Linked DNA regions of Arabidopsis thaliana. The protein of the gene in region 1 interacts with the protein of each later gene in a pairwise test. Each region holds a gene or a part of one and is shown on either strand. Other genes may lie near its edges. The genes, in order: AT2G20780, CAT9 and TMT2.

Region 1 (5,066 bases):
GCAGCGCGAAGTTGCTCAGGAGATTATCAAGGAAGGAAGATCAATGGCTAAGAAAGGAAGCTCACCGCTTATGTTTGAATGGTATGGCAAAAGGTACTGGGGTGCAGCACATGGACTTGCTGGTATTATGCACGTATTGATGGATGTTCAGCTGAAGCCTGACGAGGCAGAAGATGTGAAGGGAACCCTTAAGTATATGATCAAGAATCGGTTTCCAAGTGGAAATTACCCTGCTAGTGAAGAGGATAAGAAGAAAGATATTCTTGTGCATTGGTGTCATGGAGCCCCTGGGATTGCCCTCACACTTGGGAAGGCGGCTGAGGTGATGGTGCCTTTTTAGTCGAAATCTTTGTGTGTGTGTTGTTTTATTTGCTTTCAATACATTATTGAGAGAGAGTTGATCTCTGGGAAATGAAAACAAAACTCAGGTTTTTGGGGAGAGAGAGTTTCTGGAAGCGAGTGCAGCTGCAGCAGAGGTGGTTTGGAACCGTGGATTGCTCAAGCGCGTGGGGATCTGTCATGGAATAAGTGGGAACGCATATGTTTTTCTTGCGCTTTACAGAGCTACGGGAAGGAGTGAGTATCTATACCGTGCAAAAGCCTTTGCCAGTTTCCTGCTTGATAGAGGCCCCAAGTTACTCTCAAAAGGAGAAATGCATGGAGGTGATAGTCCTTATTCCTTGTTTGAAGGCGTTGCAGGCATGGCCTATCTCTTCCTTGACATGGTCGACCCATCTGAAGCCAGGTTCCCAGGTTACGAGCTTTAAACTTCTTGATCGATAACAATCTCCGTCCATCAAATCCTTCTCTCTTGTTATGGAGGATGCACAAGGTAAGAGAGGGTGTGAGTGTATGTGTGTTTAGTACTAGCAAAATCTTCTTGTTGTTTGATGGTGAATAAGTTTGAGTTGATATATAGCCGAACTGTCCGGAGAGCCTGTAACTTTATGAGTGTTAGAAGGAGAGTGTGAAACATGAAGTGAACACAAAGGTTCTGTCATTTCTGTATATATTGTCTTTTGAGTTGAGTATCACATGGTTTCTTCTTGAAACAAGGAACAAAAAAACAGAGCAGTTGGTTTCTTTGGAATATGCACTGGGTCTATACCATCATCAAACGCACTTACAAAATCTATCTTACGTTCTTTGGATCTAATGCAAGAACAGAACACCATAAGAGTATCTTTTCACTTCTGCCTCTTCTACTTTAACATGATCAATTCAAAACTCCTGTTCCTTGCGCACAAGACGCTCAGCATCTCCAAGCTCAACTTCACCGTCTTTTCTTTCCAGCCCACCCTGAAACATCAACTCTATCTGCTCCAGTGACTTCCCGCTTGTCTCGGGGACTAGCACATACACGAAGATAACTGAGAGTGCAGACACGAGGGAGAAAACGAAGAAGGTTCCTCCAACAGTGATGGCACGTGACACAGAGAGGAAGGACATGGCCACCAGACCGCTGCACACCCTGTTCCCAACCGCCCCAAGCGCAGATGCCTGGGCTCTTAATCGTAATGGAAAGATCTCTGATGTCAAGACCCAGCAAACAGGTCCCATTCCTATGGAGAAGAAGGCAACGTTTCCACAAACAAAGAGAAGCGCCAAGGTTATCCCAAGCGTTCCTTGGCCGAGGAATGTGAGCGTAAAGCTTAGACAAAAGAGACACAGAGTCATTCCTATTGTGCTCACATAAAGCAGCGGTTTCCGGCCAACACTATCAATCAGGAAGGTGGCAAATAGTATGAACACTGTTTTCGTGACACCAACAGCGACAGTTGCAGCGAGCAGTTTGGTCTCGTCTTGTATCCCAGCCTCTTTCAGGATCTCTGGACTATAGTAGACTGTGGCGTCAATTCCTGTGATCTGCTGGAAACACTGGATTCCAAATCCAACAATCAGCATTTTCCGTACAACAGGAGATGGGCTAAGAAGCTCACGCCACACGGGCCTGTCCTCGCTGCCTTCTGTATGTGCAGCCGCCAGTTGTATCTCTGCAAGCCGCTCTTCCGCTTCGTCATCTCGCTCATTCGTTTTCATGAGCACCTCTCGTGCACTGTCCACTCGGCCTTTCATCACCAGCCACCTCGGCGACTCAGGGATCACACACAGCGCAAATCCTATGAACACCGAAGGAAGAATCCCAACTGCAAGCATGATCCTCCAGCTGATATGCACGGAAAGCCCCGAGAAAGCGTAGTTCGAAACATAGCCCAGCAAGATCCCTAGATTTATGAAGATCTCAGGGAACGAAGTGAAAAATCCTCTAGCTACGGTGGGGGATATCTCGGCGATGTAGACAGGAGCGATCATGACACCAAGCCCAATCCCAATGCCGGCTAAAGTTCTCCCTATCATCAAAACCTCGAAAGACGGAGCGACAGCCATCACGGCAGCACCAGTCTGGAAGACGAGAGCAGCCAAGGCCATGGTCCATTTTCTACCGATAGAGTCAGAGGTTCTGCCGCCGGCTAAGCTGCCAAAGAGTGAGATGATGCTAAGGCTACCAATGAGCACTTCCGTCTGCACCTCCGTTATTTTGAGATCCTGCTGTATGAACAACACCGCACCGCTCATTACCCCAACATCTGACAAATACCAAAAACAGAGCACACATACCTTTTTGTAAGTCAACAAAGTAAAGAAGAAGAAGAAGAATCCGATTATATAAGTAAAACCGACCGTAGCCGAGAAGAACATTGTTCAAGGATGCAAAAAAGGCACAAGCCATAACGTATTTTCTGGTTCTACTGTTTCTAGCCTCTGCTTCACGATGATTCTGCGATTCCTCCGCGTCGGAGTCCATTCTCTGATACTTATTCTTCTTATTTCCGACAGAGACCGCCGGAAAACCCGAGCCACCGCCATTACCAACCTCCGGAAGATTCTTCATCATCTCCCTCCGCCGAGGCTTCAGACAGCAGACTCAGGTGGTGTCTGTTTTCGGAAAAAAAGAGAATTCAGACAACGACTTGAGGAAGAAAGTCGTAGATCTCGGAAGAAGGGCTTTAGATGACCAGATCTGAACCGGAGAGACTTCTTAGAAATCTCATCGTCTCTATTTGACCAAATTGGTGGAATTTTCTAATGAGGTAATCCAATTTTCAAAAGACAACTTGACTCCTTCCATTAACATTACGTTTCAAGAAATAGGATTTTTTTTCTTTTCTTAAAGCGTAAAAAAAGTTGGAAAGATATTTAAGAACTTATTAAATTAAGATAGATTAGAGTTTTCAAGGTAATAACAGCTCATCTGTTAGCTTAGCACACACTCTTAAAAGGCATGAAAACATTTATTGAAAACTAAATAAATCAGGGTTTCGAGTTTGGACAGTTAACCTTTATTATGAAAAAAATGGAATTAACCTCCAATGGCAGCTTGCTCCCTATGAATGAGATCTGTCGGTGGTTATTCCAAGCTCATTGGAACTACAGAGACAGTGTCATTGACGTGGCAACAACAATCTTTAAATTGATTGATATTTTTCTTCTAATTTTGTAATTTCATAAAATACAGACCTCATATTGCTGCAAACCTTGGATTATAATCTCCTTTATGAGCTGGATATATACTATATCTAGATAGCATTCTCTATATAGAGCAATTTCTTTCTTAGGCTTGTAGACTAATTATGAAACAGTGGCAACTTCATGAACACAACCACCTTACGAGTTTTATTATCACATGTTCCATTCCAGACAGATTTGCAACTAAAACAACATTCATCTTTCTTTATCTCTCAAGAAACAACAATAATGTACAGATACACTTCCGCTGTAAAAATCAAACTGCTCATTCATACGTTTAATGCTTTCAAACTCAAACAAATAAATCACTTCCTTGGGATGGGAAAATACAATACCAGTGAGGCTGCGACTTGGGGAAATCACACGACGGCTGCTGATGGAGCTTTCCCCAATGTGTTCCACAATATATAATCCCCTGAAGTCACCTGTTTACGCACATATCATGTAGAGCGCCTTTAGAGTTTTATCCAATCCGGTTCAAACGTTTCCTGTGCACTTCAATATTTATACACTATATATTGTTGGCAGTGTCTTACCTGAGCAGAAAACTCAACCGGTGACTTTGTGGTTGGGTAGATATTGACCTAGTAAAACAAAAGGAGGCCATAATAAGTCGATAATATGGGCTAACACTGTTAACTAATCATTGCAAGTTGCGAAAGCTTACTGATTTTGTGTCGATTGACATTCGAGATACAGATGCCCCGACAATCTTGAACGAGACCTGTAAACCAGAAGATAGATTTGAACAACAACCAAGTCCAAAAGATTTCAAAAGGAAGCCAAAGACATACATACCTTGGCATAGTCATAGGCTTGCCAGCAGAACGGTTCCTCCAACTCAGCTGCTGGGAGATCCTTGTTCATTTTCTGCACCAAGAAGTCCTCCACGTTCACCACATTCTCAGCGCTCTCATCCTCACTCTCTTCATCATCCCCATCCCCTTTTCTTCTGCTCTGCAATGGACTAAACTTGATTGTCCCAGGGAAAGTTGCCTCAAGGCTTTTCCCAGAAAGACTACGTCCGCTGCCCAGAATCCTCCACTCAACAGAGTGTTCTGTGGTTAAAACAGTCCCAGCTGACGGAGTCCCATCAAATGCCACTATCCGTCTCCGTGGAAAGGGCATAGTAATAGTGCAAAATTCCATTGACAGAGGAGCCTTGTAACCTTCCATGAGGTGCACCTTGAAGAGGAATGCACCCTCGTCTTCTGAAACCATTGATAGCTGATAGAACCCTTTCACTGGTGGTCCGAGTCCACAACCTGCCTGGTATCGCATGAGAACAAAGTTACCCAAGGGAGGCTGGAAAACAATGTTCTGCTTGTCAATCCCATGTGCTGGAACTTGGGCACATGGATGGAAAGATATAGCTTCGATATGGGCTGTACTCAGCCCTGCTAGAGGAAACGACACATCAGGCAGCCCTTCTAGTTCTGCCCGACAGTTTATCTGTCCCGCAACAGATACATTATCAGGAATCTCATCGCGGTCGTACATTGCAGCGCTAACGGTCTCATGAATTGTGAACAATAGCC
Region 2 (5,729 bases), on another chromosome or scaffold:
TTGTATTGTATGGTTGTGTTAAGGAAAATGGTATTACAAATTAACTTAAGAATTTAAATTGCAGGCCAAAAAAGTTGCCGCTCTACTGAGCCATCCTGGAGCTAGAGGAAAAGCTACGACGAGGTTGCAAAATCGGTACTTAAAAGGAAGTATGAGTGGTGCGAAGGAACCTAATGTTCACTCGGAGACAGTAGTTGCGTTGAAGGCTAAGAATGTAGGTAATGAAATGAGCCCTTGTAAGGATAACTATTCGAATGGAGAGAAAGGTGGTTTCGAGGTGAAATCTGAAATCTACACTAACAATTATATATTCTCAATTCAATCTTCAAGTATCCTTTATCACCCTTTTGTAAATGCAGGTTGCGTCTGACCCAAAGGAACTTAAAGAAAGAGGTCTCCAGAGGAAGAAAGCTGTTCCTGACAGACTTAATAGCATTCATAAGCTTAATTCAACTCCTGCTTCTGCTCATAACTCTAATCCAAATCTTGAGGAGCTACAGACGTCTCTTCTTTCTAAAGCAACATCACTATCCGAAACTGCATTGAAAGTTCTTCTTTGCAAACGAGATAAACTGGTAATAACTGTAGAATTTGATCAAAGATACACAACACAGCAAAAAAACTGATTGGCAATAGCATATATATCCTTATTTTATGATTAAGAGCTGCTCTCTTTTTCTCTGGCTGCAGACTCGTCAACAGAGGAACATAGAAGACGAGATTGCTAAATGTGATAAATGCATCCAGAACATCAAAGGTATGTATATATACATATACTTTTCCTTTCTGCACAGCTTTGTTTTTACATGAATCTTAGTGATCTCGTGGGTGTTATAGGTGATTGGGAGCTGCAATTAGAAACAGTACTCGAGTGCTGTAACGAGACATACCCGAGGCGTAACCTTCAAGAATCTCTTGACAAGTCAGCATGCCAAAGCAACAAGAGGCTGAAGCTCAGTGAAACTCTTCCTTCTACTAAAAGTCTGTGTCAGGTTAGTTTATGGTTACTTTAATCATTTCTTGTTCAAAGAATTAAGATTCATTGCCCCTATTTATTGCAGAGACTCGATGATATCTGTCTCATGAATAACTGGGTACTACCAAACTATCGTGTGGCTCCATCAGATGGTAAAGTTTTGAGATCATTTGCCAAACTCGTAGTTCAGCTCCATTACTCCCTTCAGATTTGCATGTTGATGTTGATGCTTTGTTCAAAAAGGTGGATATGAAGCTGAAGTAAGAATCACGGGGAATCATGTCGCATGTACAATACATGGAGAGGAAAAGTCTGATGCTGAGGAAGCTAGGGAATCTGCGGCAGCTTGCTTGCTAACAAAGTTACAACACGACACAGCAGCCAACTTATCATGATTATGTGAGATTCAAGAACAACTCAGAAACCAAACTAACTTCCAGCATGAGTAGAAAACAACCCTGATTTTGATATGTATGGCCATTTTGGACGAATAGCAAGATTTGTACAAAACTCCATCCTCTGGTTGAGATTTTGAGATATATTACAAGAAGTCAAAGGTATTAACTGATGCAGAAACTAAAGTAGAACCAGAATCATGTTAAAAACCTAATCCTAAGCCTCCTGCATTTAAAACAATCCTAGAAACTCAAAAACCCAACAAAGTGCTAAAGAGGGATGAAAGAAATCCTAGTAAAAAAAAACCCTAATATTGTTAACTAGACCAAAAACCTCAACAATGGCCTGAAAGATTAGACCAATATGAATCTCAACAGACACAAGAAACTTGTCAACAACGAAAATAGGAGCTATACTGTCTCATGGCAAAACAGAGGACTCCATCGCACCTAAAGGCCCAAAGACAGATGTCGTCGCGAGCTTTCAGTTCATTAGAGGGTTATTGGGTTTAAGTGGTCTCTGTTGGGCCCAATGGTTGGCCCAATATTTATTGATTTGGATTCTGATTATCCCGGGGGTGATTTCAGTCATCGTCTCGATCAATCTTCAACTCTCAAATTGAAGTTTCCATGGGAGGCCACGAAGGTTTCAGCAACCAACGCCTCTCCTCCGCCACATGGTTCTCTCATTTCCGTGCTTCAGCTCTCCGATCTAAATCACTGCCCCCTCCGTCCTCGCAGACTGCCGTTCGCTCCACCTCTGGCGACTCTCTGGTTCGTCGCCTCGGCCTTTTCGACCTCATACTGTTGGGCGTCGGCGCTTCCATCGGCGCCGGTGTCTTCGTCGTCACCGGAACCGTCGCTCGCGATGCTGGACCTGGTCAGTTGAATGAATTACTTTTTCTCACCACCTCCTTGATTCGTTCAGAATCGCTTAGTGATTATTGCTGCCGTTGCGTGCCTAGGAGTCACAATCAGCTTCTTGCTAGCTGGAGCATCGTGTGTGTTGAACGCTCTCTGTTATGCTGAACTTTCATCTCGTTTCCCTGCTGTTGTTGGTGGAGCTTACATGTACTCTTACTCAGCTTTCAATGAGATCACAGCTTTTCTTGTTTTCGTTCAACTCATGCTTGACTATCATATTGGCGCCGCTAGTATCTCCCGTAGCTTGGCCAGCTATGCTGTTGCTCTTCTTGAGCTTTTTCCAGCCCTCAAGGGCTCTATTCCTCTCTGGATGGGAAGCGGCAAAGAGCTCTTGGGAGGGCTTCTCTCTTTGAATATTTTGGCTCCCATTTTACTTGCTCTCTTGACCCTTGTTCTATGCCAAGGTGTGCGAGAATCTTCCGCTGTCAACTCCGTTATGACTGCTACTAAGGTAAGCTTCTTTCCTTTTAACCTTCTCTTCTTATCTTTACCAAAAAAAACTCTTCTTCACTATATTGTTTCTTCTGTAGGTCGTGATCGTTCTCGTTGTGATTTGTGCCGGTGCTTTTGAAATTGATGTAGCAAATTGGTCTCCTTTTGCGCCTAATGGTTTTAAAGCAGTTCTCACTGGAGCTACTGTTGTCTTCTTTTCATATGTTGGATTTGATGCAGTTGCTAATTCTGCTGAAGAATCGAAGAACCCTCAGGTCTGCCTATATATATGTTGAATGTACATACTATCTACAAAGTCTCTTATGTCTGTTTAATTCTTGTTCAGCGCGATTTGCCAATCGGAATTATGGGGAGCCTTCTGGTTTGTATCTCGCTGTATATTGGCGTATGTTTGGTGCTCACCGGGATGGTCCCTTTTAGCCTCCTCAGCGAAGATGCTCCTTTAGCTGAAGCCTTTTCATCAAAGGGTATGAAGTTCGTCTCAATCTTAATCAGTATTGGTGCTGTTGCTGGACTCACAACTACTCTGCTTGTTGGTCTTTATGTTCAGGTGATAATATATATATATGTATTTCTTTTGTAATTTCTTTTATTATGTACTTGTATATTATGCAAACCAAGGTAACACTCTTGAGTAATCATATGATATTTCGGATAAACAGTCCAGGTTATATCTGGGACTTGGAAGGGATGGTCTATTGCCTTCAATCTTTTCCAGAATACACCCAACTCTTCATACACCTCTTCATTCTCAAATCTGGTGCGGCATTGTAGCTGGCGTTTTAGCTGGCATATTTAATGTACATAGTCTTTCCCATATTCTGTCTGTTGGTACATTGGTACGTCAAGGTCTTAATTTTAAATATCTCTTTGCTTTTCTTATTGATACTTATACTTTCCAGTTTAACATTATTTTCGGTGTTCCATTTCTTCAGACTGGGTATTCAGTTGTTGCGGCTTGTGTTGTGGCATTGAGACTGAATGATAAAAAAGATAGAGAGTCGTCCAATAGATGGACATCAAGTTGGCAGGAAGGCGTCATTTGCCTTGTTATAATTGCATGCAGTGGTTTTGGTGCTGGCGTATTTTACCGTTTCAGTGCTTCAGTTATATTTATTCTCCTCTCAGTTGGTGTGGCAGTTGTTGCTTCAGCAGTTCTTCATTATCGCCAAGTAAGTAGCCTTAAGTATAAGCCTTAATTCCATAGCACACTCTTCTTAATTTCATAGCGCCAAAAAAAATAAAATAAAAAAACCAAGTTTCACCCCTGTTAAAATGCTAGATACTAAGTCTTTTACTGATACAGCATAAAATAGAGACCACCACTAGCATGTTCTGGCACTTAGAACTCTACAGTGATACTATGAAAGTCTGTGACTATTGAAGTCTTTGCATTCTTGGTTTAGAGGAGAAGTTTGTTAACATCAATTAGGAAATATACCCTCATGGTTGTCTCCACAAATCAGGCAAATGCCTTGCTAGCTATGCTTCATGTTAAACCCCTCAGCTTTTCGCTTCCAGGCTTATGCTCTGCCTCTAGGTTCTGGGTTTAGCTGTCCTGGTGTACCCATTGTGCCATCCGTTTGCATTTTCTTCAACATCTTCTTATTTGCTCAGGTACACGCTAAGAACTAACTTTATACTAATTTCACATACCATATGATCTACCTTTGATTTTTCCGCTACTGTGCAGTTGCATTATGAAGCATGGATAAGATTTGTTGTTGTCAGTGTGCTTGCAACTGCCGTTTATGCCTTGTATGGGCAGTACCACGCAGATCCGAGCATGTTGGATTATCAGAGGGCACCTGAAACTGAAAGCGACGCTTAGTAATGCTACATTATAGTTGTGTTACTTAAAGCCATTTGTAGAGTTGATAGCAAGTTTCTGCGTTTCGTGAGAGACATACTGTATGTCACATACATATTCAGGTCGAGTTTAAGGATTGGATGGGATAAGGCAGTTAAACATTATTGTTGTAAAGAAGTTAATAAAAGTATGCTTGTGCATTTCAACTAAAGCCTTGAATGACTGAAAATGGCTTTTGTGCTACCAAATAATCCCAGAAGCTAGCAATGTTCACATAAACATACTCAATGTTAGAGTTATTCAACGGATCATAGTATAGAATCAGAAACAACAAGCTTACTAATAACAGACATCCAAACCCTCTAGCATTGTAGTAAGACCAAAACCCTCTAGAATTGCCCCAACTTAGCCGGCTGTACAAATGAAGATCAATCTCCACAGAGACAAGAAGCTTAGCAGAGACGGCGAGCATTGGAAGAGCTACTCTGTCTCAATGTAAGAGGAGGAACAAGAGCAAAACAGAGGATTCCACGCCACCTGAAAGACCAAAGACTGATGTCTTTCTGATTTACCCCTCTCGGTGACACCACACGCCTCTTGGGGCTCGTGGTCTCCCGTTAGACACAAAGATGGAGTCTTCTTGGACTCGGCAATGTAGTTTTGAAGAAGGTTAAAGAAAAAGGCGATGAAGAAGAAGTGGAAGCCCCATTAAGATTTTGTTGTGAATGAAAACTGAAAAGAGTGACTTTGTTGTTTTATATAGTTCGTTAATCCGTTCTGATTTACTTCGTTTTCCTCTTATAATAACTCTAAAGGTATAATCTTTTCTTTTTCTTTTCTTGAAAGCATTATTTAGAGAGTGTATTGTATTAAGCATGAAACAGAGACTGTGCTAAGCCTCCTGCATTTTAAACAATCCTAGAAACTCAAAAACCCGACAAAGTGTTAAAAGAGAGATGAAAGAAATCCTAGTAAAAAATAAAAACCCTAATTTTGTTAACTAGACCAAAAACCTCAAGAATGGCCTGAAAGATTAGACCAATGTGAATCTCAACAGACACAAGAAACTTGTCAATGACGAAAATAGGAGCTATACTGCCTCATGGCAAAACAGAGGACTCCATCGCACCTAAACGCCCAAAGACAGATGTCGTCGCCAGCTTTCAATTTA
Region 3 (6,996 bases), on another chromosome or scaffold:
GGAGGAAAAAAAAAAAGTAAATAAGAAGGGATAGGAAATGAACCTCAATTTGTTGATGGGCTTCTGAGTATTATATGGGCTGAAAATGAGATTTGCAGTCCAAGCCTCTTTCGTCCACCGCCATGTCCGTCTTCCCCGTGTGCGTGTCCGTGACTGATAAACCAAAAGCCTCCGATCATCCGATGAATCATGAACCGGAGAAACCCAAAAGTCGCCGATCATCCGATGAATCATGAACCGGATAAACCCAAAAGCCTCCGATCATCCGATGAATCATGAACCAGAAAACGCAAAATCTTCCGATGAACCATTGCATTGAAGACAGGGTAAACAAAATCCGGAATCCTTTGAATTCAAACAAAAGTAGAAAACTTCCGACGACGGAGACTGAGAGAAGATATCGTAACGCCATTAACGAGAGACAAAGGAGGAAGAAGAAGAATCAGAGTTGAATTAGAAGCGAAGGAAACAGGAATCGAAGAAGAGAATGGTGAAAATCAGAGCAATTGCGTATGTAATTTCATCTCTCTCTCTCTCACTTAAGAATTTTCTATCTCTGAGAAGGGTTCCTCAATTTATAGACACATCGTTTGTGTTTGGGATTCAAAGTTTCCTTTTTTCTTAACGGCTCTTTGTTGTTTCCTTTTTCTTTGTTATTTCCTTTTCTAAAACAAATTTTGGATTGTTTCCTTTTTCCACTTAAAAAGCTTAGAGCAATGAGAGTCTCGCACGTGCCCTCATTAGCCAAGATTCGCAAGAAAACAATGGATGATATATTTGGCATTAGCTTTGAAACGTGTAGCGACTGATTGTAGCCAAACCATAGAGCAGCTTGTGTGATTGCAGAAACAGAGCTCGAGGCTACAAATCACAGAGCTCGAGGCTACAAGGTTTAGAGTTTGAGCAATGAAAGGAGAAGAAGCGAGGAAAGACGCTGAATTGCTCAAGAATTATAGGTGAATAAATCACTTTCTGCTTTGAATGGGAAAGAAGCTGGAGCATTTGGTCGCACCATAACTGCGGTTGCAGTGATTGACACGGCGGAGAAAGGTTACGAGATCGGAGAGAAAATGGTCCAAGTGTTCTTGAAGATCGGAAACTTGAAATCTACTGCTTCTGTGAAGAAACTTGATAAAGTCGGAGCTAGACTTATCGAAAGTATGTAATTGAAAGTTTACGGATTTGTTCTATGGATTCTGCAAATGGTAAATGGTAATAAAGAGATTCGTAACTGAAAGTTTGAAACTTTTTTTTCTCCCCACATGAAGAAGACGAAACAGAGAGAGATGATTATTACTGCACAAAGTAAAAAGACAACAACAAATCCACATGAATATTACACAAACTTTTTATCTCAACAAGTCTTTCAGTTTCTCACTCGTTTTTAGCAGCTTCAGCTTGTCTAGCTCCAACAGAAAAGAACTCTGTGATGACTTCAAGTGGCATGCCTTTAGTTTCCGGGACTTTAATGAACACAAAGACCCATGAAATGCAACATACGATTGCGTACATTCCAAACACACCAGCTAGTCCAATGGATTTGAGCAGCACGGGGAGACTGTAAGTGACGATTATGTCACAGATCCAGAAGGTGAGTGCGCAGATGGCGATGCAGATTCCGCGGACTCGAGTTGGAAAAATCTCTGAACAGAGGATGTTTGGAGCAGGACCGAAACCCATCACGAAGAAGCAGAAGTAGAGCACAACGCTTACGGTTGATAAGACCGCGTGCACAATGCTGTTCATGTGAACAAGATTTGAGATTACTAAAACCAATAGAGATGCTATCAGGATTGGTATCGTGGTGAGAAGCAAGGTCCTGCAAATATAAAATAAAAGACATTTCATAACGCATTTTAGCTTGTTTCGTTTATGTGTATTGTAAGAACAAAGGAAATTTAAGTTTTAATCACCTTCGACCAGAAAGATCCATGAGCCTCATTGCAACAGCTATTGCAGGTAACATCACAAAGGTTGTCAATGCACTTATAAGTAAGGATGCTGAGGAAGAACTAATCCCCATGTTCGATAGTAGGATCCCGACACCCGCCTGCTCAAGGATTTGCGGTGTGTAGTAAAGAACTCCGTTGATGCCTGAGAACTGCATTTCCAAGAGGAAGCAGGAAAACATAGAATTAGCATAAACCGCATTATTTCTTCTGTGATTCACTAATTTTGATGTGGCTATCTAGACTACCTGCTGAAGTATTTGAAGTCCAACTCCTACGACTAATGCACGCTTGACTCCAGGATCATGAAGATCATGCCAAATTGACCCTTTAGTTGTTTCGGATGGATGTACCATAGCAGGACCAATTGTATGTTCTTTGAGAAGGTCTTTGGAATAAAGAGCTGGTTGGCTAACCAAAGCAGACGCTTGTACAAAATCTGCCTCACCGGTTCCATCACCACCAGGCAATGAAACAATTGAGCCACGTCGAGATCCTGGGAAACCTTCTTGATGCAAGTATATCCGTTTAAACCCACCTTCTTTCTGTCCCGATTCATCTTCTCTTTCCGTCCATTTCCATGCCACTTGCCATCCACCTCCAATCCCCATACTACCCGCTCCTTCCCCTTGAGCTCCCTGCACTTGACTTCCATGTCTGAAGGTAGAAAGAGTTCCATGAGCAGTGTGAGGCATGTCTTTCTCCATGCTTGTCGTTTGACGTGAGATCAACGGAGAATGAAGATCATCTTCAGAATCATCTCCATGGTCGGATGGATAATCCTCACCTTCTCCAACAAGATTCTCTTCATCCCAATCTTCATGTCTTGGTTGATTCCCTCCAACACTGAACATACTCCCAAAATGTGGGAACAAGGCACTCCTCATGCTTCCAGTGTCCGGCATCTTCTCGTGAACGCTCCCAAACAGTGTGACAAGAGGATCAATCAATGAGCCTTGCCTCCTGCTCATTGTACTTCCATGGCGAGACAAAACACTCATAGTGCTTCCTCCTTTGACTGGCCTAGCAACCCAACTCAGCCCTTCTTCTGCACCATATAACTTAATTTGATCCTTATCCACAGCTATATCATGATCATCAGTAACTTCATCCGCGGGACCAATTATATATTCCTCTATGGTTGTTTCACCTCCAATTCCAAGACCCTCAACCAACAAAGCCATCTCACCTATACATTGCCACATAAGAACATTCAATAGAAAAGATTGGTTTCATTGAAAGAATTAGAGTCAGAACGATTTAAGACTAACCAGACACATCTTCGCGACCACGCAGTCTCTGAAGAACCCGCTTTGCTTCAAGCATTCGACCTTTGCTCACGAGCCACCTTGGGGACTCGGGCAAGAAGAAGACCGTGAGGAAGAAAAAGACAAGGGAAGGGATGAAAAGGACACCAAGCATCAATCTCCAGCTAGGTGATGGCATCAACGACATTCCGAAAACCATACAGTAAGATAAGAACATCCCTCCAGAGCCAGTGAACTGCGGTAGCGTATTCAACAGTCCCCTAATCTCAGGTGGTGCAGTCTCAGATATATAAATAGGAACAAGTGTGACCACAAGACCAACCCCAAATCCATCTAACAACCTTCCTAAGAGCAACACATAAACATTCGGAGACCATAGCATTACTAGAGAACCAACAAAGTAGAGAATTGAGGACAATATTAGCATGGGACGGCGACCAAGCCAATCAGCTACCCCTCCAGAGCATGTTGTAATCAGAGTAGCACCAATAAGTGACATCGCCACAATTAGACCTTCCACTGATGGATTACTCTCCAAATTAAACTCCTTTTTTATGTACAACACAGCTCCTGCAGAGTACCCAAAGAAAACTTAAAATCCATCACACAAGCAAAAGAGATAAGCTAAAAGATCTGTGAATTGTATCCATAAAAATCCTGACTTTATCGATCCTAAATTTCATAAACAGAATTATGGATACAGAAGATAATCAATCACCTGCAATAGTTGCGTTATCCCATCCTTGTAACAAGTTGCCAACAGCAGCAGCAATAGCAACAAGCACAGCTCCACTCATAATTCCGTCTTCTATCTTTTATCAAGAAATCTGAAGAGAATTTCGCAAAAACAGAGTCACTGATCAACGACGATGAGTGAGTGAAACAAAATCCACCTGAAAATTCGAAAATCAGACACAATCACTTGGTGAGCTAAAAGATAAAACAGAGAGAGATAACACCAAAAAGCATGACCTAAGACTATAACAAACCCTTTAGTGACGTAAAAGACACATACCCAAAGGAGTTCTAGAAAAAAAAAACAGAGGTGAAACCTCAGATGTCAAAATCAAAACTTTGAATAAAATTTGACTACTTTTTATCTCTACCAAGTAGAAGAGAAAGTAAGAAAGTACGAGAGAATATGATATACAGAGAGAGAGATGAAAACTAGGGTTAGCAACTTGGAATTGGAGGCAGAAGAAGCCACTATCAGTGAGCCGCTGCTTCAATGGCGTCACTAAGCAATCATAAAGCATTGTTTACCCTTTTGGTTTAAATCAAAAAAAAAGAAAACGAAAGCTAGATTTCGAAGTAACCGTGAGAATATAAAAATGAATACTTTTTTTTTTTGTGCGGAAGGACAGTGAACAGAGAGAGAAGCCTATGGGATTAGTGACACCTGCCGTTTTGCTCCTGTCCTCTCAAACCACGTATGTGTATTGTGTGTGTATGTCTCTCTTCTCTTTCTCGTGTTTGCGTACAGAATTTTTTCAGAGAATTAAGTACATCTTTAAATTTTGTTATCTTTTCGATTTGGGTCCACGAGTTTATTCACGGGCCTATACAATCAAATTAATATCTCGAAATGTTTCTGCTTTTTACCATCTTCGCTTTCATGAAGTAAAGGTAAAAACGGATATTAATTTGGGATTTTGTATGTAAAAAGATGAGTTTAATGTCGGCATAATTGGGGAAAAATATTTGGTGTTTTTTTGTAAATATGAAACAAATATAGGATTGGTTTTTGAAATCTTAGATTCATTGGGACTTATACGAGAAACTAGAGATAAATATCTGAGTTTTCTGAAAACAAAGTTATTGGTAAAGTAAAGTTTAGTTTGTTTACATCCGGAAAGCATCTTCAAATCATTTCAACTTTACATAATTAATCAAGAAAGAAAGAAACAATGCAATAATGGAGAATAATGTCCAAAGTCCAAATACAATGAGACACTTTAACTTTAGTTAATTGTGAGTCGTATTCGTATGTTACAATATAATGAATAGTTTTTTCTTCTTCACTTTACTATTCTTCTTACAGATTAAAAGGGAAGAAAAAGAATGTATAAAAAATCATATTGAGTTTTTTTTTTTTTTAGAACCGAGTACCAAATTCGATATACAGTCTCTAATTCTAAATGAATAACATTAACAAATTTTGATCAACGAAAAACAAACCATGTGACTACGACAACTACTGGTTTTCTGAAAATAAATATCTATCGTCCGTATATCAAAACTTGATATGTATAAAACAAAAGATATATTGTTAAACGTCGTTGTTAAAGTTCGTATATTTGACCGCAAAGATTACCATAAATGTATTTAGAACATAGGAAAAACATCTAATTGGTTAATAAATATTTATGACTCCATATTTCTTAGATATTTTCCGGAAATGAACGTAGTACAAGCGTTATGTTTGGAACTACAGTACACACCACAGAATATAAACACGCAATAGAATCTTTTTTCATAGACTTTGAAAGTTATGGCATGTGAATGCGAATATATAAAGATTCTTGTCCACATCCTCAATTAATCATCATCATTGCTTCTTAAAAATTCCGTAGAATGAGGAGAAACGTACCATTTATGTTTACTGGTAGTAGTGATTACTGATTTAAGATATTATTCTTGGGAAAGAAACATCTAGTAACAACATTTTGAAAAGAAAAAAATCAGAATGATTATTACGGAAAAATGAAAAATTCAATAACGTTATGTTTGTCACCAAACTAATGTTAAAACGAATTCAAACCAAGTTGGAGAGATGTTACAGGACAGTTTTGCTAAAAAAAATCAGCCAGCACATTGATACAAAACCCAAAATATAATTTTGCTTGTGTACGTGGAGGTGTCAAATTTGATTCAGTCTTGTGAAAATGTCAATTTGATAGCGTTTATAATTAAAATTTTCGGTTCTTTTTTTTATCTGGAATTGAAATGTGTAATATGTTATCATTTTAGGCCTTATTGTAAGGTCTAAAGTCTAAAACAATACAATAATACGGCCTTTGGGGTGTCTGAATTTTGTATTTGAACATTGGGCTGGATCAGTGAATAAACAAGGCCCAAAAGTAAAACTTATTAGGGATTATGTGCGGGGCTCCAGAAAGTTGCAATATATGGAAAAGTCAATCTCTTACGTCATAATAGTCAGTGACGCCATAATACTGTTTAAATATTTGGCATATCTTTATCTTAAGAAAAAATCTCAAGAGATTACTATTCTTTCTGATAGGAGATTGAATGAACGGTTGCTTCTTTTACAAGTAGATCACATGTATTTAAATTAGTCTTCTCATACGACGAGAATAAAACCATCGTGCTTAATACTTAAATTTTTTTACAATTAACGGTAACTAGTAAAACCAGAAATGCATTTTGATTTTGTACAAACCAACATTCTAATTTTAGTTTTTTTTTTCAATTACAATTTAAACGATAAACAAAAGAGAAACTGGTTTAAATTTAATAATGCAAAAGCAGAAGAAAGAAGGTGAGAGGAAACAGCGGAGAGAGACAGAGTCAGAGAGGTGTAGAAGTAGTAGCTGGTGAGCACTAATAAAAGACCTTTCTTCGCTCAATCGCCGCCGTAAAATAAAACACCATCACATTCTCATCCAACGAATCTAATCTATCCGACCAAACCAAAGCTCTTAAAAAATCTATTTTTATTCTTACTTCAATCTCTGAAATAAATAAACATAAAATATTGTAGCTTTCCTTTGTTGTTCGACTTTTCTCTTTTGTCTCCCCTAAATTTAGTTTCTCCT

Evidence for each region.
Region 2: the proteins of AT2G20780 (region 1) and CAT9 interact in a protein complementation assay, tested with the Arabidopsis thaliana proteins (one large-scale study listed by BioGRID).
Region 3: the proteins of AT2G20780 (region 1) and TMT2 interact in a protein complementation assay, tested with the Arabidopsis thaliana proteins (one large-scale study listed by BioGRID).

What each region holds. Positions count from the first base shown.
Region 1 is NC_003071.7:8,946,275-8,951,340, forward strand, and holds AT2G20780 (Major facilitator superfamily protein), read right to left. Parts: upstream 3,156-5,066; 5' UTR 2,897-3,155; coding exon 2,683-2,896; coding exon of another isoform or gene 2,620-2,682; intron 2,589-2,619; coding exon 1,222-2,588; 3' UTR 968-1,221; downstream 1-967. Other genes in the region: GCL2 (GCR2-like 2), read left to right, coding at 5-322, 429-767; AT2G20784 (uncharacterized protein), read left to right, coding at 3,347-3,502; AT2G20790 (clathrin adaptor complexes medium subunit family protein), read right to left, coding at 3,888-3,953, 4,065-4,112, 4,196-4,252, 4,327-5,066. UniProt on the Arabidopsis thaliana protein: Plasma membrane sugar-proton symporter.
Region 2 is NC_003070.9:1,800,215-1,805,943, reverse strand, and holds CAT9 (cationic amino acid transporter 9), read left to right. Parts: upstream 1-1,943; 5' UTR 1,944-2,001; coding exon 2,002-2,251; exon of another isoform or gene 2,252-2,336; coding exon 2,337-2,746; intron 2,747-2,825; coding exon 2,826-3,002; intron 3,003-3,073; coding exon 3,074-3,298; intron 3,299-3,410; coding exon 3,411-3,587; intron 3,588-3,683; coding exon 3,684-3,920; coding exon of another isoform or gene 3,921-3,947; exon of another isoform or gene 3,948-4,269; coding exon 4,270-4,365; coding exon of another isoform or gene 4,366-4,383; exon of another isoform or gene 4,384-4,441; coding exon 4,442-4,579; 3' UTR 4,580-4,834; downstream 4,835-5,729. Other genes in the region: AT1G05950 (uncharacterized protein), read left to right, coding at 65-277, 360-575, 691-757, 838-992, 1,062-1,128, 1,220-1,371; AT1G05930 (B3 domain protein (DUF313)), read right to left, coding at 5,011-5,095, 5,655-5,729. UniProt on the Arabidopsis thaliana protein: Permease involved in the transport of the cationic amino acids.
Region 3 is NC_003075.7:16,795,058-16,802,053, forward strand, and holds TMT2 (tonoplast monosaccharide transporter2), read right to left. Parts: upstream 4,755-6,996; 5' UTR 4,015-4,754; coding exon 3,936-4,014; intron 3,788-3,935; coding exon 3,221-3,787; intron 3,139-3,220; coding exon 2,198-3,138; intron 2,102-2,197; coding exon 1,914-2,101; intron 1,820-1,913; coding exon 1,375-1,819; 3' UTR 1,167-1,374; coding exon of another isoform or gene 957-1,166; 3' UTR 891-956; coding exon of another isoform or gene 816-890; 3' UTR 726-815; downstream 1-725. Other genes in the region: AT4G35295 (homoserine kinase, putative / HSK), read left to right, coding at 276-326, 816-890, 957-1,166. UniProt on the Arabidopsis thaliana protein: Sugar proton-coupled antiporter which contributes to vacuolar sugar import (e.g. monosaccharides including glucose, sucrose and fructose), particularly during stress responses (e.g. in response to cold).